Linked DNA regions of Lytechinus pictus. The protein of the gene in region 3 binds, or shares a complex with, the protein of the main gene of each other region. Links are inferred from orthologs where the notes say so. Each region holds a gene or a part of one and is shown on either strand. Other genes may lie near its edges. The genes, in order: actin-related protein 3, actin-related protein 2-A and actin-related protein 2/3 complex subunit 2-like.

Region 1 (7,060 bases), on a different chromosome or scaffold from region 3:
TTTAGTTATCATAAATTTTCCAGACATTTTTGTATGTTTAGTTTTTATCATTGATAAATCATGACTTGTATTCATTTTCTTGTACTTGTTTGTCCATTATAGAAACATGTATTTACTTTGACATTTTACTTTACCATGTACACATTTAATATTACCATGTATGCACCGCTTTGTTCCAATTTACCGATAGATATTTCATGTTGTAAATTATTGATGTTTTTGAAAACGGTATATAATTTCTTCGTCTTTTTCTTACTATCATTATTATTCTTTTTCTTCTTCTTCTTTTCTTCTTCTGTTATCTTCTCTGTTGTCTTTTCTCTTTTTCGTCTCCCTCTCACTTTTCCCTTCTTCTTCTTCCTTTTTTTTTCTTCTCCTCCCCTCCTCTTCACGTTTCAATGATTGTCTTGTAATATTTCATTGATGCTCCTTTTCCATATATATTGTTCGTTATACACTGATTTTAAAATGTTTACTTTGTCAATTGTATGTTCCACACGGCCCCAATGGAAATCAGTCTGTGAACTGTTTGGGCTTTTTAACCGTGTATAAATAAAATAAATCTTATCTTATCTTATCTCATCGAACAGGCAATTCTGGCGCGAAGCGCAAGCAAAATTTTATATAGTAACATGAAGGATTTTTTTTTCCAAGTCTTCCCCTCACATTATTTCATTCACTCGTCTTCCTCCTCTTATTTTCCTCTTCTTTTTTTTCTTCTGTCTTTCTTCTTCTTTTCCTTTTTTCTTTTCTTCTTTCTCACTTTTTTTTTGGCTCTGCCATTTTTTTTCAGGGGGGCACCTGGGGGGCACGTGCCCCCCAGGCCCCCCCCCCCCCCGTAGCTACGCCACTGATGAAGGAAGATCCCCTCTTACTCATCCTTTTCATGATTTACAAAACATGAATAGAGTGTCCCGTTTTAGGTTTAAAACTAGAATTTTTCCGCTTGCGCTTTGCGCTCGCATTATTTAATTGTTGAAATATTGAACATCTTCATGCTGGCTAAGTGCAAGCAGTCCTTAAAAGGCACTTTTCGATCAGTTCAAAACGTATACAAACTTTTTCTGCTCTCGCTTTGCGCTCGCATTATTATTGAAGGAAGATCCCCTCTTACTCATCCTTTTCATGTTTTACAAAACATGAATAGAGTGTCCCGTTCTATAGGTCTAAAACTAGAATTTTCCGCTCGCGCTTCGCACTCGCATCAATTGTTTAGTTATATAGCTATCCTGCTCATGATTACAAAAATTGATTAAAGTTTTCCATTCTTTATGTAGAAATGTCAAAATTTGTCAGTTCGCCCTTCGCGCTCGCATTTTGATTGTTGAAATATGTAACGTCTTCATGGCTAACTGCAAGCAGTCTTTAACAGGTAGGCTTACCTTTCCGATCAGTTCAAAACGTGTATCAAAAATTTCTGCTCGCGCTTCGCGTTCGTAGTAATTATTGCAGGCACATCTTTTTTTTTCAGAATGTTCAAAGTTTAGGAAAAAATACATACAATTTAAAAAAAATATTGCTCGCGCTTCGCGCTGGCATTATAAAATAAGGATTATGATATTATACATTTATGTTGAAAGAATAAAGCTAACAAGTTACTTATAGGACTACCCCCTTCAAAGAAACAAACAAAAGATCATCTTCGAGCGGCCGATCGGGGAAAATATGGCTGGAAAAAATTCAGCCCCCCCCCCCCTATTTGCGAAGGCTGGATGGCCGCCCCTGCATTATTTCAAACGTCTGAAAAGCGACAAGGTTCACTCACTGTGTCGCTCGCTCGCGGCAAATCTTAAGTCTATCCCATAATAAATTCCCCTGGGAGTCGTTTAGGACAGTGACTGAAAATTCGCTCGCTAGCTTCGCTCACTCAACTGAAGGCACGGTCAGCCTAAATGTAATTCTGAAGTTTAATGACAACAAGATAATTACAAAAAATGAACAGCATAAAAAAAAAAATATCGTGATGGATGATATAACATGATTATGTCATGATGGGTGTCATATCAGTTTTGAATTTTCAGCTCTCTATATTGGTATCAACCCCCCCCCCCCTTCCACCACTGCTCTGACGAAATTTACACCTGACCCTATCAAAGGCAAAGTTAGCCAGAAAATTTTTCAGTGTCAAACAATACTCATGACGAGGAAGAACTTCGGGGTGCTTTTTTTATGAAACTTGTCAGCACTATACCACTCTATAACAGTCAGAAATTATTGCAATGGTTCTAATGATAAACGAATAATAATTATATCTTCACGGTATACCTGCATTTCACCGAAATTGTGCAGATATATGTAAACCCAAGCAGGAACTTTAAAAAAAATACAACTTTTACAAATAAGGGGGCCATGCAGACACACCATGTCGCGCACGTGGATTTGTTAAAATTGACCCAAAACTTTAAGAAATATAGACCTAATCACCCGGTTAAGTCCACCCCAGAAAAATGTTAATATGAATACTTCGATTATATCATTTTTTTAACGGAAATAAATAAATCTAAATCTAAAATAGAGAAAAATAGAATAAGCACAACACTGAAAATTTCATCAAAATCGGATGTAAAATAAAAAAAAGTTATTACATTTTTTAAGTTGCGCTTATTTTTCGCAAAAAAGTGCACTTATGCACAATTCAGTGACATTCGGATGAGACAGACGATGATGTCCCTCCCTCCATATTTCTTTTGTGTTTCTTTGTTTGAAATATACAATATTTCATTTTTTTCAGATTTGACAATAAGGACCAACTTGACTGAACCATATAGTATCAAGCAATGCTAATTCCACATGTTCAGGGAGGAATTTTGTTTCACTTGACAGTTAGGACAACATTAGAATAATTCATATAATAAAATATACAAAAGAAAAATGATTGGGTGACGTCATCAGTCTCCTCATTTGCATACCGTGCATATAACACCTGTTTTGTGAAATGAAGCGAAATTTTAAAATATTATCATTTTCTTATTTTACATCCGATTTTGATGAAATGTTCAGTGTTATGATTTTTGGATTTTTCTGTTTTTATTCAACATCAACTTTTTGTTGGGGTGGACTTGTCCTTCAGGAAGTATTTTGTCCCGTTTTTTTCTCCCTATAAATACTTTAATTTTCAAATATGCCCTCTCAGGTTGAAAAATAAATAAATAAATATAGTAAACAATTATAACTAATGCAAGGTTTGTTCCGGGGTTTGTTTAGCAATTTTAACCGTATGGGGATGTTAAACTGAGCCAACTGGTGTATTGGCTCAGTTGGTAGAGCGTCCGTCTCACAACCGGGAGGTCGGGGGTTCAAACCCCGGCCGCGTTAGACCAAAAGACGTTAAAAGATGGGAGTTACTGCTACCCTGTTTGGCGTTCAACGATTAAAGGGACAGAGCCTCGATCGTCGATCTGGCGCTGCACAGCGGGTCCACGATCAATTGGGCAAAGCAAATTTTCGAAGTATTTCATTTCATTTCTATTTCGAACAATAAAAAAAATATGGATGGATATTACAATGAAAACTATTAAAACCTCTCGATATCAAAATAATAATAAAGCAGAAACCAGAATATTGTGCATGCCATGCACACGTTCCCACAATCATATAATTCGTTCCTGTATCAAATCATTTGCTTTGATCCAGCTGAGGGATGGCGGCTTGTTCAAAGCTCATTTACACCCGAATCTGTTTATCTGATGGTCAATCGGATCGGGTTTGCACCCGAAGCCGTCTCTATGGTCTAGTCTAGTGGTTAAGCCACCGGCGTTCCAATCTGGGGGCTCGGGTTCGATTCCCGAGTAGCGGATGAAGGGGCGGATGCAGGATTTTCCAAAGGGGGAGGGGGCATTTTTTACAGGAAAATAATTGACAATAAAAAGGGTCCTCACTTGCGTATGCATGCATAGCTTATCCCCCCAAAATATTTTGTGCCTCTCGAAGGGGGCGGGGCGGATGTGCTCCTTGATATATCATAGGTCTGTCGGCTTCCTGATGAGGGTCATCCACATTTTTTTTTCGTGTCATCAACTTGTTTTTTATATAGCCCCATCTACGATGACGAAGAGATATTCAGGAAGCAAGAAACTCACTTTGCGTGCATATGTGATCTGATACACAATACAAGCCTTCCGCCTTGCCTTAGTTCCTTGTGCACTGTTATTCGTTCCAGCGAGTCAGGCTCGGGAAGTGGCCTGAAATTCACCCTTTTGTGAAGGTTGTGGATCAAACTAGAAATAAATCATGGCTTTTAGGATGCCTGCTTGTGTAATCGATCCTGGGACAGGGTAAGTTAATCGTCTTCTCATAGTATTGTCGAATTATAAAATCTGATAGAAAAAGGGCAACTCCCATCTTTTCGTTTTCAAATTTCAATGATGATCATTTGATGGTCATGTTGGTAGCGATAGTAGGCCGATAACCTTGTCGGTGTTTGGTAAAAAAGTCAAGCCTCAAGAAACTCAACAAATCACACTTGCCTATATAATTTGTAAGATAAAAATAAATGCCAAATTTTGTGTGAATCTGTGTGAGAGAAAGTAAGGCATGCCGAAAGTATCGTTCATGTCGTTTCACTTGGTTAATCTATAAACTAAGTTCTAACTTATTTGTTGACTGAAATGAAAAATCTACTGACTGTTTCGGATAGCCTGGAGAGTAACAGTCATTTTACTGACGTAGACTTACTTTCCATGGAGCCTGGGACGGACGGTATAGGCCCACACACACCGAGTATTTTGGAGACAACAATGTTGCTCCAAAATACTTGTTCTCTTTAACTTACTAATATAAAACTTATGTAAATGGTCTACAACTTCATTTACCCCCACTAGGAAAAAATAAAATTCTTTTTACACGAAAAATTATTTTTAAAAAGAAGAAAAATCATGTAAGAAGATGAGCTATACTCTCAGATGTTATTGTCGCCATCCTGCCGTCTTTGTTATCGTAGCCAAAGATACAGACGCGTATGAGCAGTGCCAACTTAGAAAAAAAATACTTGCATTGGCCGATAAATATTATGGATTTTAAAATATTTGCATCGGCTAATAAATATCATAAAATCACTTTCATATTTTACAATTCATGATATTTATCGGCCGACACAAGTATTTTTTATTATCTAAAAAACTTAATTCTGAGCATATTTTTTTGTGGGCCATCTATTGGTTATTTTTTAATTTAGACCTTTGCTTTTTAATTTTTTTTGGGGGGGGCATGGCCATTAAAGGTATAAAGGTAGCAGCTGAGTGTAAACTTACATTCTTACTCATTAAAGGAGAAGTTCACCGTGACAGTATGTTTATTGTAAAAATATATTATATTGCTGAATGTTTGAGGAATATCCATCAAAGAATAAAGTTATTAGAATTATAATCATTTGATATGTGACGTCATGTATGCAAGCAGCTTCCCTACATATCGAATGGTTATAAAAATCAATGAAATGTCATTTACTCAGAAACTTGAAAATGGTTTTTATTGTACCTTCATTATATCAATACACAAATGATTTCACACCCAGTCCTAAAAAGAAAGAAAAATGTCATCACGAACCATTAAAAGAACAAAATTCATGTATTTTATATTACATAGCATAGATGGGGTAGCTCCTTGTTTATGACGTGACAAATCAAATACCTGAAATTCCAATAACTTTCCTAATCTTCAATGGATTTTCTTCAAACCTTCAATATTTTATCAGGGTGAACTTCCCCTTTAAACATCACCAAGACTTTTGAAACCAACTCCAATACTTTTCTTGGGATAGACATATACATGCATGCCAACCATTCCCTATTCAGAGTATTTGTTCCTCTTTCTTTGCTATGAATACACCAATACTTTTTTGTATGATTTGTTACTTTAAAAAAAATTTCCAATCATGAAGCATGTATTATACACAGGGCGTGACACTAGCGCCGGTCCGACAGTCCCAGACTGGTAAAAATCACTGTCGGGCCAGTAACTTGTTGCATGAAAAGAACAAGTAAATTCTTGCCTACGAGCACATGTTTACAAGGGTGAATTATCAAGTTTTCAAGTAGTCATTCACATGTTTTTTCACCGATCTCACTACAATAGGATGGTGATAGAACATACATTGAGACAAATTTTTAAAAAGACTTTTTTTTCCAAAAATTACTTTTTTTCCTTCTTGGTTCATAGAAGGTTGGCAGGTCTGCATATATATTGGTAATAGAATAAGCATGTTGGCTGGGTAAAAAGTATTAATATTATCCAGGCATTTTATGCCAATGAATTAATTTATGGAATTATAAATGAACTTGTTAAAACTTTTTCTTTCTTTTTCAGATACACAAAGTTAGGATATGCTGGGAACACAGAACCTCAGTATATATTCCCATCAGGTGAGTCAAAAAAAAAAAATCAGATTCTGGATTAATACAAATATTATTTCTTAGTTAAGAATTCATATTCAATTCAATATATTCTAACATCAATAAATCTCTTTAGAAGAAATGAATTGATAATGAAATTTTGTTTTCTCTGGGAATATCTGTTGTATTGCGAGCATTTTTTGCTCATATTAATAAGAAAAATAGTTATATCCTCGCTTAACGAAGTTTGAAGGGGGTATATACATGTAGGAATCGGTGTACAGTCGGTCAGTTGCAATCTTGGGCATCAAACCATTTTCTCAGTTTTCAACCAATTGGTCATTGGGTAAAGATGTGCAAGACACATACGTGTTGAAAATTGCATTGCCATTGTAACAACAAATTATATGTCTAAAATTAGGTACAAATTTTCCGGTTCAAATTATTTCATCAGTTTTTAACCAATTCTCATGATAGCTCAGACATTGGTCTTGTGGTTAAAATAGGCAAGACATATTTTTCCTATTTGTTGGAAATTTTTGCCTTGGTAACGACGTGTGGCGGGGGTATTAATCACCTTCAGTGGTAGTTCTAGTTATAATATTTGGTTACTTACTGTTTTTTTTTTAAACTATATTAAAAGTCTTTAAATACTATACAATAATGGAGTTCTGCCTTTAGCAGAGCAGCTTTCACGCACACTGCATTTTAAGGAATAAAATTCCTGCCAG
Region 2 (8,088 bases), on a different chromosome or scaffold from region 3:
TAGCCTTTTCTCCTCAAGGTTATGGTGTTTATGTTCATTGTACATGTACATGCTTTTAAAATGTCCTCAAGTTTAATGAATTTTCATTTTCACATTAGTATTACTACATATTCCAAACCTTTTCCCTTATCAACTCCTTAAGCATACATGTATTTTTATCATTTTCAAGTAGAATTCCCTAGCATTTTTAGCAAGTACATTATTGACTGGTCAAAAGATGAAAGTGGATACTAAAGTGTGGAAATAATTAATTGTAAACTTAAGTCATAACATTTTCCAAAACTTGTTGAATATTCAAATTTCTAGGGACAGTGATTTTCCGCGATCGCGGAAAACGGACGGAATTCACGGAAAGGGTGTTTTGAAACGGAAAGTGTCATTTCAAACGGAAAATCACGGAAAACGTATTTTCCCGCAAAATACACAGAATAGCAACAGAAATTACTCCAAAATCACAACAAAATGAGAATATTAAATGGCCACAAAACCCCAGAAAACACGATCTCACTTCGCTACTTTCATGACAATTCACACATCGTGACTGCACTCGACATCAGCACACTTGATTGTACCCCGCACTGTACCCGTACCCTGCCGGCGCCGGGTCGGTTGGGCTTCACATGCACACACATATCGTTCACTGCACGGTCGTGTGTTGCTGCCCTCTACGTTTGAAGATGTAACAGCACGATATCGTGGTCTTAAAATCCAAGATGGCGGATTGGCAAAAGCCGTTGACTGATGATAACGATGTCCAAAAAACCCCAAAATTATCGATGAAATATCATTTCACCGTGAAATAATGGTAATAATGTGAAAGGTGAGGATGTATGCATGCTAAATGGGGTTGGAAAAATATTTTTTGCACCCGCATAGATCCGATTAGAACGGATTCTATTGTGTTGTTGGTACAGTAGCAGATACAAATTTTGACCAGTGCGAGTGTACGGTATTCAATGTGTAAACGGAATTGTCACTTTTCCGTGTGTACAAAGTCTATGGGGAAACGGAATTTCCGTTTTCTGACATGCTGAAACGGAATTTGAGATTTTCTGAAACGGAAAAGGCAATTTTTTGAAACGGAAAATCACTGTCCCTAAATTTCACATATGAATTGCCTGTCGAGTATTTTTTATTTGGTATTGATCTACCAGGAAAGCGAAGATTATTCCTTGTAATTTCTGGAAATTAATTTTAAAAGTACCTCATCAGATTCAAAATAGATCTGATTGCATAAACTGTAAGTTTAGAAAGGAGACCCAAATCATAAATCCATATATACTCTATAAGTCCATAAATCCATATACATGGACATATAACTCGATGATTCTATAACATGTTAATTGGATATTCAGTTGGCTGGCATTCGATACATTTGTATGCCTGTAAGAATGACAAATTTTCTTGGCTTCACCAGAATTTAATCATGCAGACAACATGTATACATATAGTAATAGTAGTTTAACATCAGAAATTGATCTTCCAGAGTCAAGGTGGGAGGGAATTTTCTTAATTTTCTTGGTATTTTCCAACTTATTTAAATATAATTCCATTGACAATATATGGGCATTTCATGGATATGAATTTCTTTTCGCCACACGGTCAAATGGTTAAAGTAACAAAACAGTACCGATAATATGCTTTAAGCAGGCACTTGAATGGCATTTTAACATTTTGATTCAGCCCTAATTTGAATATATATATATATAGGCCTCTACAAAAGAAAAAATTGTCACTTGCCCTGTCGGGCAAGTGATGAAAAAATTTGCTTGCCCGATAGAAAAAACTGCCCTATTTGTTTTATAATTTTTTTTTCATTATGATGGCACTACCCTTATTTTGAAAGGTCATACAAAATAACAACAATTGAGAATCATGTACAGTATAAAAGAACACACATTTAAAAGTTTATTTTCGGCAACGTAGGACTGAGTCATCACGTTTATTTTGAATTTTTTTTTCACTATTTATAAATGGGGCTTAATTTAAGGTTAAAAAAAAAACCTTCACCAAAAGTTGCTAAAATTTCATATTTTGCATCTTTAAATCCACGAAATGGTTATCTGTTTGCCATATTTCCTTAGAATTGTTTTGATTTAGTTGGAAACTATAAAGAAAGCCAGTGAAAATTATTCAGCTCTTTATTGACTCTGAAAAAGATCGTTTTATGATGTTTGAAAAAAAAAATGAAAAGTGGAGTGGCTAAAATTTCACATTTTGCATCTTTAAATCCATGAAATGGTCATTTATTTTCCATATTTCCTTGAATTTCTTTTTTAGATTAGTTGGAAAACTATCAAGAAAATTAAGAATATTCACCTCTCTCTTGACTTTTCTTCATCATTTTATGATGTTACACTCGGTCAATATTTTTTTTATTGTAGTCCAGCATGTAGACTTTCATGGGTTTTTTTTTCATGGTGTTGCAGCATTGATCATTGATCGTATCGTTTGATCGTTTTACACTTGGTCAACACCATGAGAGTCTACATGTGGGAACACAATAATAAAAAACATTTACCGAGTGTAACATCATAAATCAGAGTAAAGAAAGAGCTGAATATTCTTAATTTTTCAGTAGTTTCCAACTAAATCAAAACAATTTCAAAGTAATATGGAAAATAGATGGCCATTTCATGGATTCTTGCAAAATGTGAAATTTTAGCCACTTCTGGTGGTTTTTTTTTTTTTTGGTGTGCATCGGCAAACTGCACAAGATAGAAGCGCATGCGCAGTCATTGCACACATAGAACGTAAGATGTGATGGCACGGTTTTTCGAACGAGGTACCTAGCGATAAATTATTGGTAATTGGCGGTGATTTTACATCAGTTTCCACCTTTTTTTTTACTGGTTTGACATAATCTGAGAGATAGTTGTGATTATCCAAAAGATATATTGAGGGTCTATACTGATATATTATTTCCAAAACAACCACTTGCCCGATCGGGCAATTGACTTTGAGAAATGCTTGCCCGCACGTCATTTTCACTTGCCCCGGGCAAGCGGTTTTGTCGCACCCTGTATATATATATATTATCATATGGTATACGATTATATACAAAAGAAAACAGCTTCTTTTACCAATACATGTATGTCATCTTTTCTATTTCCATTTGAATACTGTACAAGCTGTTATTTTCGCGTACAGAATTTTTCGCGAATCGCGGGGGTCCCGATATTTTCGCGGGTTGTTAAATTCGCGATCGGAAGATGTGCAAGAACTTCCACAACATACTTCCACAACATTTCAAAGAAGCAAAGCTAATACAAATTATGTACTAATCGATACTCTTTTGAATATGCTGATGTGTGTTTTGTACAAAAAATATGTCCCTGTAAAAACAGTTGCAAACTGTGGAAAAGGTGACTTAAATTTCATTTTTTTACCTTTAGATCTGAAAATTCATCATGCCACAGTTTGATCTGTAATCCATAGGGTTAAGCAATCTTTGGAATTTGTGTTTTGTTCGATTCATTTTTTCAAAAAGTTGATAAAAGTGCAAAAATGTGGAATTTTGTGAACAGAATCTTCACCTCTAAAAGCTCTGGTCATGTGACTTATGAATATTAATGAGCTGCCAATACGTGTGTATAGTCAATCAGATGACAATAAAATCAAATTATTTCATGGAAAATACATTTTAATAATACAGTGAGTGAATAAATATTGATAAAATAATGTTAGAAAATAGTTTAGGCTCTGATTTTGTTTCAGAAATTTAAAAAAGTGAAATTCTAGCTAACTTTTTGAATCACTAACTGTACTTTCTTAGCCTTATTTTTTGTACATATAGAGGTGCATATCTGCACAATTCACTATATACACAGGATGTCTTCAGTAGCAAAGCTTTACTGTTAGGGACATTGGCACTGACTAAGAAGTGTGTCAATATTCTCACGTGTTGTTAAATTTGCGGCCGATCGGCAATTCGCGAAATCCGCGAAAATAAAACCCCCCGCGAAAATAACAGCTTATACAGTATTCACTTCTGAAATATTTAATTTGTAAGTAAATTGTCTATTAATCTTGAATGATATTTAAAAAATGGAGCTTGCAAATTGGTGCTATATGAACAGGTGTATGTTTGGTTTTTGTGTGCATGGCTGTTTGTTTTGCTGTGATTTTAAACATGGCTATAAACTGAAGTTATTCAAAAATTTAAATTGTCAGTTCCAGTTTTTGTCTCACCTGCATAGCAGAGTGAGACTATAGGCGCCGCTTTTCTGGCAGCGGCGGCGTCAAAATCTTAACCAAGGTTAAGTTTTTGAAATGTCATCATAACTTAGAAAGTATATGGACCTACATGTAGTTCATGAAACTTGGACATAGGGGTAATCAAGAATTACTGAACATCCTGCCTAAGGTTCAGGCCACATAACCAAGGTCAAAGGTCACTTGGGGTCAACAAACTTTGACCATGTTGGGGGTATTTGTAGAATTGTAATCATAACTTTGAAATTTAATGGATCTAGTTCATGAAACTTACATGTAGACATAAGAGTAATTAAGTATCCCTGAACATCCTGAGTAAGTTTCAGGTCACATGACCAAGCAAACTCCCATCATTTGTTGTTTTAGAGATAAACATACACACAATGAAAAGTGTGCTAAATTGTGCCATGTAACGTCAGCTACCGTGAAAATGCCCATGTATGGACAAGTACTGGTATTCTTATATACCAAAAAACAAACATTAATCAAGTAATGTCTAACTATGCTAACTACAGAGAGGACAGAATTGGCACCCCATTTTCGGTTAAGTCACAAACAAAAATCAAATAGGCAATAACTTTTTAGAATTTCAATAATCAATCTTGATTGGTAAAACAATGCCTAACATTGATTACTAATAGAAGAGATGTGTGGGCTCACAATAAGGGGAACAAAATGAGACAGCAATTTTTGCCCTAAAAAAAAAAAATTTGGAAGTAAATCATGTATTTCATGAATTTTCTTTCCTTTTACAGGTTACTTTGATAGTGCCCAGTAGCTTGCCATTGTAGATTTGAGATAACTAATCTTATTTCATTTTATGATGCGCAGGAAGCCGCTTTTGGAAAGTATACCCTAATTGTAAATCAACCCTTATATTAATGGATAAGACAAGGATACAGTATAGAATATATTCATTTTAAACTTTTGTTTTGGGGTCACTTTTGTTTTAATTTTAGGAAAGAACTTTTGTGTTAGCTTTTAGATGGAATCATTATGCAATATGGGTAAATCAAGACCACATCTTGTAATTCGATGGTTAAACATTAGAAATTATCTTTCTCTTTCAAGAAACCATGCATTAATTGACTGGTGTGACAAACATTTTACTGTGTGTGTGTTGTACTGTTGTTCAACATGAGAAACAAAGACATTGAAGGGTGTTCTATCAGGCATAGCCTTTTGACAAGGCCCCATGACTTGGTAATATTCTTTGCCAAGTAGTGGCTGAAACGAGACAAGGGGTTGAAGAAGAGAGCTGGCAAAATCTGGGTAAACGTGAGATTGAAAGTCAAAAGGTCACAAGTTTCAGTCACGAGTGAAGTCAATAGGCCTTTTGAACCTGGATTTCACTGCTTGCTCTGAATAATTCATGAGCATGCCAATGCGCCAATCCACACTTTCAATGCTTAATTACATGTACATCATGGGACCGATGCATTCCCTTCTATGGTACGTGTTTCATTCATTTGGCCTCCGCCTCACAGGCCGGAAACAACGGTTAACATGATAAATCCAAGTCAGGCTCCTTAAGGCCCAGTGGATGACTTGTTCACCCAGAAATAAGTCTTTTCTTACAAGTCTCGGTCAAGGACACATTATGAATCAACCAGGATGATGTTAGAGATTTAAAACTTCAACTATCAATTGGATTTGGTATTTAATTTGTAATTTGTAAATAATTCTGGATTGTTTTATAGGATCTAATGGTTGGTGATGAAGCAAGTCAGCTTCGGTCTATGCTTGAAGTCAACTATCCAATGGAAAATGGTATTGTTAGGAATTGGGACGATATGAAGCATGTATGGGACTATACCTTTGGTGAACAAAGTTTGGCCATTAATCCAAAAGAAAGCAAACTTCTACTCACCGAACCACCCATGAATCCAGCCAAGAATAGAGAAAAGATGGTTGAGGTAAGCATTTTCTATCAACTTATGAACTTACTGGCTAACATTTAAAGATTGAGTGAATTTTTTAACATATATGGTTACCTGCACCTAACAGGAGAGAAAAATGAGAAATCCTGTGCTGAAATCATCTTTTCATACATGTAGTTGGATATCATTCATGTAAGGTATAAGATTTAATATGTGAAATTTCTATGTCAATAGTAGAATATTATTTTGATATATTTGATCTAAACCAGTGAAGTTTTTTTTTCTGTGGTACATGGGGTCTTTATTGGGGAAGTACAATTGGGACCAGGTTTGCAAAAATGACCGTTATGACTCAACACTGGTTTAATTAGTTTTTATTGTCTTGCCTGCTTAGCGGAGCGAGACATACATGTAGGTATCAACAATTGTGTTGTACACCCAATAACTTTCTATAGCTTCGAGGTGGGATCACCAAATTCATACCAGAGGTCCATCTCCTGAAGGTACAGGTCAAAGGTCAATGAACTTTCCATGACTGGCACTGTGCTGTGTTGTACACATAATAACTTTCTATATCTTCGAGGTGGGATCACCAAATTCATACCAGAGGTCCATCTCCTGAAGGCACAGGTCAAGTTCGAATATGAGTCGAATTTGAATAAGGTCAAAGGTCAATGAACTTTCCATGACTGGCACTGTGCTGTATTGTACACATAATAACTTTCTATATCTTCGAGGTGGGATCACCAAATTCATACCAGAGGTCCATCTCCTGAAGGCACAGGTCAAGTTCGAATATGAGTCGAATTTAAATAAGGTCAAAGGTCAATGAACTTTCCATGACTGGCACTGCTGTGTTGTACACATAATAACTTTCTATATCTTCGAGGTGGGATCACCAAATTCATACCAGAGGTCCATCTCCTAAAGGCACAGGTCAAGTTTGAATATGAGTCGAATTTGAATAAGGTCAAAGGTCAATGAACTTTCCATGACTGGCACTGTGCTGTGTTGTACACACAATAACTTTCTATAGCTTTCGAGGTGAGATCGCTAAATTCATAACAGAGATCCATCTCTTGAAGGTACAGGTCAAGTTCGAATATGAGTCGAATTTGAATAAGGTCAAAGGTCAATGAACTTTCCATGACTGACTGTGCTGTGTTGTACACACAATAACTTTCTATAGCTTCGAGGTGAGATCGCCAAATTCATAACGGAGTTCCATCTCTTGAAGGTGCAGGTCAAGTTCAAATGTGAGCCGAATTTGAATAAGGTCAAAGGTCAATGAACTTTCCATGACTGGCACTGCTGTGCTGTACACACAATAACGTTCTATATCTTCGAGGTAGGATTTCCAAATTCATACAAGAGGTCCATCTCTTGAAGGTGCAGGTCAAGTTCAAATGTGAGTTGAATTTGATTAAGGTCAAAGGTCAATGAACTTTCCATGACTGGCACTGTGCTGTGTTGTACACACAATAACTTTCTATAGCTTTGAGGTGGGATCGCCAAACTTGTAACAGAGGTCCATCTAAGTCATATAGCATAGTTTTGACATGCAGTCTCTTCATGACTGCAATATGCAGGGAGACAACGCTTGGCGTTTGCCTTGTTATGTATAGAGATGCAGTAGAGATAGCAATTACGGAAAATTCTTTTTGATGAAATAATAACGTTTTTATAGAACTATGAGATTTTGAGATAATGTTTCATGATGTTTACATGTAATATCTTTGTGCAAAAAAAGTATGCAGTGTAGCATAGGAAAGCTCAAATAGAGAAGTGTGATATAAAAAGGAAGGATCTGTGCAACAAGGAAGTCAGATAAAATGATGAGTTGTATAGCACTATGGAGCATTATTTTTCTTTCATTATTGGTAGTAAGCTAAGCTGCATTCCTATGATAGCTTCAATATGAATAAGGAAGTAATAACACGGAGTATGTATTTTTAGTCATGACAAAGGTATATCACATTTTCTTTACCTCCTG
Region 3 (7,506 bases):
ACCTGAAAACAGAAGATGCTCTTTAGTGTATAAATTTTGTAATTATTAAGCACGATGGGTCGGCTATCTAACCAAACAATATGAGACCATGAAGCACGGACTGACATAGGCCTATGTTAACCTAAAAATGGACTATTGAAGGATTGTTTGCATAAACTCATAATTTAAAACATTAACAACTATCTTTATAATTCTTAGAGCGCTAGCTGAATTTTTTTTATGTTTAGACCTGGAAAAGAAAAATTTTAAGGATTTAATTTTTTGCGTATAGTCATAAACAGGATGCAAATCCTATAAATTGGTGATACACTAACCTTAATGAAAAGGGGACACGTATCTCATTTATCAAGTAAACATAAAAGAGGCGTAATGAGCCATAAATTTTGAGCGGACAAGATATGGCGTATCGGGTAAAATTAATACAAAGTTATGAGAAGGCGAAGCAAGCGAAATTTTAACATTTTTATTGCAAAAAATCAATTTTGTGGTAGTGTTTGACTTAATATTAAACAAATGATATCATATTTCAGATTCTCTCTTTCCTTTTCTCCCTTTTTCTTGGTCGTGACCTTTTTTGTGGGGGGGGGGGGCCAAGCCCCCCCCCCCCATCTGTGCACCAGTAAGATATAATGTGAGTGAAAAAGTGCGATCTTCTATTTATTATTCATAGATCGGGGGGGGGGGAATTATTGACTGTTATAGAGAAATTCATTAAGATGATACAAATATCAAGCAAAAAAAAAAGGGGGAGACGAAAGAAGGAATAAGACAGTCTAGGTCTGCATGCCTGGGTCGTGTAAAATATGAGGTCACATTTAGGTTGCCCCCCCCCCCCCCCCCCCGTGTAGAAATATTCCCTAAGAGGAGACATTGAAAATGTTTTTTTTTAATTGGGGCTCATTTTATTCATTATATGTAAATTGTACGAGGAAGAGCAAAGACTAAAACGCATCTTTTCTCTCCGCGCCATCAACATCTGCGCACTTCCTGCCATGTCCCTGGGAAGCGGGGGGTGCTGGGGGTGCTGCATTGAAGCACCCCCAACATTTTCCTTGGGGTGCTGCGTGTATTATTCTCCAGAGGCAGCACCCCCAGGTTGTCCGGAAGATGTTTAAAAGTGGAAAATATAACCAAAATTACCTTTTAATAATGTAGTGAAATCCCCATTTTTTGCTTTGTTCTCCATATGTTGTTGTGAAAACTTTTTTTTTTTTTTTACTTTTCAAATTTACATCAGCACCTCCAGTAAAAACTGTGGGGGTATTGGGCAGCAGACCCAATACCCAGGCAAAGAAGAAGAAGAAGTAGGGCCTACCTCTCTCCCTTCTTCATGTTCTTGTTCATTGAGACCACATTACGACTGTTCGCGATCCGATTTTGGAACAAATCGCATTTTGCTCATTTTCTGAAAATGTGAATGGAACAAGTCATTTTATTTGAGGTTAAAATTAATTGAAAGAATACCAATATAACCATTTTGTAAGATTGTAAGCCTTTAAAGGCCAAATTTGTTTCAAATCGTAGCAAATCGTACGACTGCTATGACGTCATTACGACTAACGTTATTAAACATTCTAGGAATTAAGGATGATAGCATAGTCACATATTTGAATATAGGGATTCGTACGATGATCTCGAACATATATTACACAGTAAGATATTCCAAGTCTCAATATTAGCATCGAATTCTGCTACGTTTTATTCCAAAATTGAGTCGCAGACCAATCGCAAGGTGTGCGGTCGCCTTTATAATGGTGAGTGGTGAATTATCGGATGGTCTAATACCACTTAGTCTACTTATCAGTTCGTCCAACTTCACATAGTCTAAACTCATTTCGTCTAAAACCAGTTCGGCTAATATCCAATTCGTCTACTTCCCCGCGCACTTGGTCTAATTTTCATTTCGTCTAATTTTCATATGGTCGAATGACCGTTTGGTCTAATTTCCACTTGGTCTAATATCCACTTGGTCTAATGACCACTCGGTCTAATAGCCAAATGGTCTAATGACCACTTGGTCTAATAGCCAAATGGTCTAATGACCACTTAGTCTAATAGCCGAATGGTCAAATGACCACTTGGTCTAATAGCCAAATGGTCTAATGCCCACTTGGGCTAATCGTCACTTGGTCTAATTTTCATTTGGTCTAATTCACACTTGGTCTACTGTCCATTCATTCTTATATAACATCATTCATTATTATTCATTTGATCTAGAATTAACAAATATATTAATGGATAAATAAATACACCATGCATCAGTTAATACATGCCGCCAGGATCCGGAGGGGTAGAGCCGCGGGGTAGGGCTGGTGGGCGCTGGAGGACTATCGATGAATTATTCCAATGAATCATTCTAATCAAATATAATTCTCATAATTAGGCCTATACATGTATATCGATTATATAGATGATGGTGAAAATTATATCAAACTCATAATCATTATCACCTCATGTACATTTTACAGAACAATATAAGTTGGGACCTTGTACTATAGCTTCTTATAATGGTCGAATGGCGGGGTTTCATCAGAATAGCATTATTATGAAGAAAGGAACGAAAATATAATGCAATTGATTGTGTGGATACGTATCAGGTTAACATGTTTATGCCTCTTATACCAGTTAGATATAGTTTAATAACACTATACACATACAGGTTTATTGGGTTCCATCTTGGTAGCAGCCATTTCTCGATTCTAACCTTCTTCGTATAAGTGGTCACGTGTAATAACATAGTATAGTCTACGCTTGCAGGCCTGTATCAGTTATCATCACAGTAGTCAGTCATTATCTACTCATTGGCCCGTATTCTGAAGTCGGGTTTAACTTAAACTCAGGTTTAAAGTTGTGGTTTAAGTATGGCGAGCCAATTGTTACATAAATTACTAACTGTAGAGATATCATACTTCAGCTCATTTGGCTCTCAAATAATTCATACATGTGTAATTGTCTAGGAAGTATAAAAAGATTATTGGCTTCACCATCGATGAATCAGGAAAGAGCACAGTAAACATAAGAAACATACAACTTAATGACAAATTTGATACTATTGGCTATTCCCATACTTAAACCACAACTTTAAACCTGAGTTTAACTTAAACCCGACTTCAGAATACGGGCCATTCTGTTTTTTGTTTGTTCTTCTTCTCCTCCTCCTTAAAATGGATTGACAGGGTTAATTCCCAGCCCATCAGGGAAATCAAGAAAATCAGGGATTTTAAAAAACATTTTTCCAGTCAGGGAAAAATCAGGAAATTACCTCAAATCAGGGGAAAATCATATAAATGAGGGCAAAATCAGGAAATTTTGATCGGCCCAAAAGTCGAAAGCACGATAGTCCGTCAGACTCTGTTATATTTTGTTGTATATATATCAAAACAATTTATTGAATGACAGGTTATGGTGTTCTTTTTTTTTAGTGTAGCCTCTTTTACTACAGTACAAGTACTGGTACATATGATTAAAAATGATAATACATGCTATTAACAAACAATATACGTAATCAACTGCATCATCTTAGAAAACATGAGAAACTGGGAATGGGTTTGAATAATTATCAGGAAATTTTAAAACCTTATTTTTCCACCTCTATGAACGTATATTAGCGTTTAATATTTCACAGAAAAATAGAAAATTTTATTGTTTTTCACCAAAACCTTCAAAAAATCCCCATTAACAGACAAAAGAAAATCCCCCAATATTTTTTTTAATCCCCATATTTTCAAAATTTGGGGATGGAAATATACCGTCGTCACTCTAACTGTACTCCAACATCGAGGGGCGCACGTGTGAAGCTTCGAAGCCGGCGCGCGGAAAGTAACTTTAAGATTTTCACCAGAAAATTGATAACAAGTCACTAAACTTTACAAATTAGACCAAGTGGCATGTAGACGAAATGAATGTTAGACTATCTGGAAATTAAACAAAGTTGAAATTAGCCGAAGTGGAAATTAGACCAAGTGGAAATTAGCCGAAATGGAAATTAGACCAACTGCACATTAGACCAACTGAATAATGGACCAAGTGAGGATTAGACCAACTGCACATTACACGAACTACAATATAGACCAAATGAATAATGGACCAAGTGAAGATTAGCCCAACTGGGCATTAAACCATTTGGCTATTAGACCAAGTGGTCATATACCAATTGGCTATGAGACCAAGTGGTCATTAGACCAATTGGCTATATATAGACCTTAAGTGGTCATTATAGACCACTTGGCTATTAGACCAAGTGGTCATTAGACCAATTGGCTATGAGACCAAGTGGTCATTAGACCAAAAGAGAATTGGACTAAGTGCATGGGTAATAATAGTCTGAATGTTGTTAGCCCATCTGACGATTAGACCAAGTGATATTAGACCAACCGTCAGTAAACCTTTATAATCACCCCCTAGCAAAAATAAAGGACTTATCGCCCTCTCGTCAGTAGAGGGCAGCAAACACAACTTGTTTTCACTTCCTTCTATTTCTCTCTCGCACAAACGTGAAGTCGAGCGTCGCCCACCTTGAGAAAAAACACCTTTTTTCCCCGGAAAGTGCTGGAAGAATCTGAAAAGTTCTATTGGGTACTGGAGACACAGCATCAAGATGATTTTATTAGAGATAAAGAATAGAATAATCGAAGAGACACTTCTAAATAAATTCGAAGCAGCGGTAGCCGGGTGAGTAAGGAAGTGATTTGGGAATGGGTTGCCTCCCATCTTTGTGCGTACACTGGGGTCACGGTCCCATTCTGAGAGAGTCGTGTTGTAGGAAGTGTAACTACACTGCTCGTAGACTGTACTCTGTAATCTGTATGTGTCTAGATCAGCCATTCTCAATTACTTTTTTTGAAGCGCCACATTTCTTGTTGAGTATCTGTAGTGCGCCACTATATCCATTACACCAGCAAAGTATTTTAGAAGGGGTCTAGAGGCCCTTGGTGGGGGTCGAGGGGGCAGAGCCCCCAGAAGTTTTTGAATGTTAGGCCTTTTAGATTGCCCAGAGGGGCTTTAATTAATATCAACAGAAGAAATACGAATGCCAACAAACTACACATTATATTTATCAAAAGAAAAATGATTAGTGACTTTTTCACAACATACCAATGAAACAACTAGTTCAGACTGTTCTGCAACAGATCTATTGGCTGAAGCAAGTGGCGTAATGAGTAAAAAGAAAATGAGGGGGCTAAATATGGCAGCTGAAGCAAAAATGTTGAGCTTTTCAATACAAAAATCTATATTTTGACATAATATTAAGAAAACAATACAATATTCAACTCTTTCCCTTTCCTTTTCTCCCCTTGTCCTTGAAACACTAGGGGGCCCCAATCCCCACCCCAATCTGTACGCCAGTGGCTGAATTTACAGTCCCTGATTTTCAATGGGCCGAAAATTAGGCGTTGCACTGCACTAACGCCAAAAATTGCCCCCCCCCCTCTCTCTCTACAACTCGTGTTAAACAAGAGTACATGCAGGCAATCGTGGCAGGCAATACATCGAGCATATTTCACTTTTACAACTTCGGATTTTAATCGGCTTCGGAAAACAAAGTTTCTGCTTGTTATGTCCCTAATGGCCTAATTCATTATCTTTTATTATCAGGATGTCCTTTGAATATCATATCATTTCATATTTAACTCTTAAGCAAAACGTATACTCAGGAAATGCAAAATTACTCGCCGTAGAAATAGAAATCCTACAAGCGGGGCTTTCAAATCACTTGTGTGGCACATAAACTTTGTAGCATAGAATAAATAAAAAGAACACCATCGATCCTCCATTATAAGGATTATCGAGTGCTAAATTTGACAAAATTTGAGGAAATCAATAAGTACTTAAGTTTCAAGTAAAGATTTTTTGCTTTCTTTTTGTATTAAAATGATCACCAAATCCTCATGTTACTGGTATACATTTTTCTCCCCAATTTTTCCTTATTTTTTTTATACCGGCTCCCAAGCGCCACTCCACAAGGCTCGGTGCGCCACCATTTGAGAATTCCTGGTCTAGATCTAACGTTAGATCTACCAGTATAGTCACGTATTGTATTACCGGACACTATTATGATTCCGGACGCGCATATTACTGCGTTCTAAAACAAATTTGTACCGTAAGACTTCCGCAATTCGATTTCACAGAGCAATACATAGAACAAGATTGCAAAAACAAGGCAAAAAATCCAACTTTTACCTAATTATCTCTAAAAATGAAAGAAAATGCTTAAAATATCATATAACGTAGTTTTGTATTAACAATTGATATATTTTCTAACGGAAATATGGGCCTGATTTTGCCGAATTTCAATCTCGTCCACTCCTTCGATCGAATGATGAGGTGTGGTGAATTGTGGGTGATCATCGGTGGCTAGTTCTCAAGGGTTCCGGGACAGCCCGACCACCGGACAGCCCGACCCTGGACAGCCCGACCCGCTGCCCTGGACAACTCGTCCCGGTCGAGTTGTCCAGGGTTGGCTCTGAATCGGACAACTCGACCACTTGAATTCTTCTTCAACATTTCAGGTGAAGATTGAAAATGGTCTGATTTGCTTTATCAGAAGAGGTGCAGACTGCAGAACTTCAAATGTTATATGTTAAATTTTCTGTCGAGAATGTATTGTAGAAACATGGATTATGCGGGAAAATACTTTTGAAGTAAAGTTTGAAATTTTATTTCATGAAATGTTGAAGAAGAATTCAAGTGGTCGAGTTGTCCGATTCAGAGCCAACCCTGGACAACTCGACCGGGACGAGTTGTCCAGGGCAGCGGGTCGGGCTGTCCAGGGTCGGGCTGTCCGGTGGTCGGGCTGTCCGGACCCCGTTCTCAAGGTACCCGTGCGCGAGGTTTACCGTGAGTAGAGCCGTCGGCAGCGTATCGATAGAACTTGATAAGCGTCACGATACGAACGCGAGCATATTATTATTGGAAAGTGCCATGGAACATGCAGCTAACAAGACAAAATAGATAAGTTATCAAACACAAATTTATTACCAACATCTGCTCAGATTCGATATAAAAAAAAACAAATAATACTTAGAATTTACTCATGATATGATATAAGAAGAAAAAAATCACACAAATTTGCTCTTACATCATTATAATCAAGGATATCTTTACCCGTCCGGCGCGCGTCCGGAATCATGATGTAATTTGTCGCGCACGAAAATAATTGTTTTTCGTGGAGGGGTATGCGGCAAGTGCGATGCAAAGAAAATTGTTGGTAAATATAAAATAATTTTATCATATTCATAATTTTCATAATATTTGGAATAGCGGGTGTGAATTTTTCTTGATTGTATTTCCTCTAGTTGTCATTTTTAAAGCACTGAAATAAAGGTGTCCGGCAATAGGATACACTGCCATACCACGACTTTTACTAGGCTGAGTTGATAGTTTAGTTAAGTGTGTGTGTGCAGGAGAAGGTAGACAATGTTAGATTATATTAAACTTTAGGGTATTATTTAGACAGCTGGCAGCCGTCTGCATGTTGCGAGGAGTTTTTTAAATTAAACATTTTAA

Evidence for each region.
Region 1: actin-related protein 2/3 complex subunit 2-like (region 3) and actin-related protein 3 share a complex: the UniProt entries of both Drosophila melanogaster proteins name them as parts of the arp2/3 complex. The link is inferred for Lytechinus pictus from reciprocal best matches to the Drosophila melanogaster genes Arpc2 and Arp3.
Region 2: actin-related protein 2/3 complex subunit 2-like (region 3) and actin-related protein 2-A share a complex: the UniProt entries of both Drosophila melanogaster proteins name them as parts of the arp2/3 complex. The link is inferred for Lytechinus pictus from reciprocal best matches to the Drosophila melanogaster genes Arpc2 and Arp2.

What each region holds. Positions count from the first base shown.
Region 1 is NC_087245.1:37,583,717-37,590,776, forward strand, and holds the start of actin-related protein 3, read left to right. Parts: upstream 1-4,037; 5' UTR 4,038-4,230; coding exon 4,231-4,274; intron 4,275-6,303; coding exon 6,304-6,359; intron 6,360-7,016; exon of another isoform or gene 7,017-7,060. UniProt on the Drosophila melanogaster protein: Functions as ATP-binding component of the Arp2/3 complex which is involved in regulation of actin polymerization and together with an activating nucleation-promoting factor (NPF) mediates the formation of branched actin networks.
Region 2 is NC_087251.1:669,470-677,557, forward strand, and holds the start of actin-related protein 2-A, read left to right. Parts: upstream 1-5,067; 5' UTR 5,068-5,921; coding exon 5,922-6,131; intron 6,132-8,088. UniProt on the Drosophila melanogaster protein: Functions as ATP-binding component of the Arp2/3 complex which is involved in regulation of actin polymerization and together with an activating nucleation-promoting factor (NPF) mediates the formation of branched actin networks.
Region 3 is NC_087257.1:14,507,535-14,515,040, reverse strand, and holds the start of actin-related protein 2/3 complex subunit 2-like, read left to right. Parts: upstream 1-4,434; 5' UTR 4,435-4,597; coding exon 4,598-4,671; intron 4,672-7,506. UniProt on the Drosophila melanogaster protein: Functions as actin-binding component of the Arp2/3 complex which is involved in regulation of actin polymerization and together with an activating nucleation-promoting factor (NPF) mediates the formation of branched actin networks.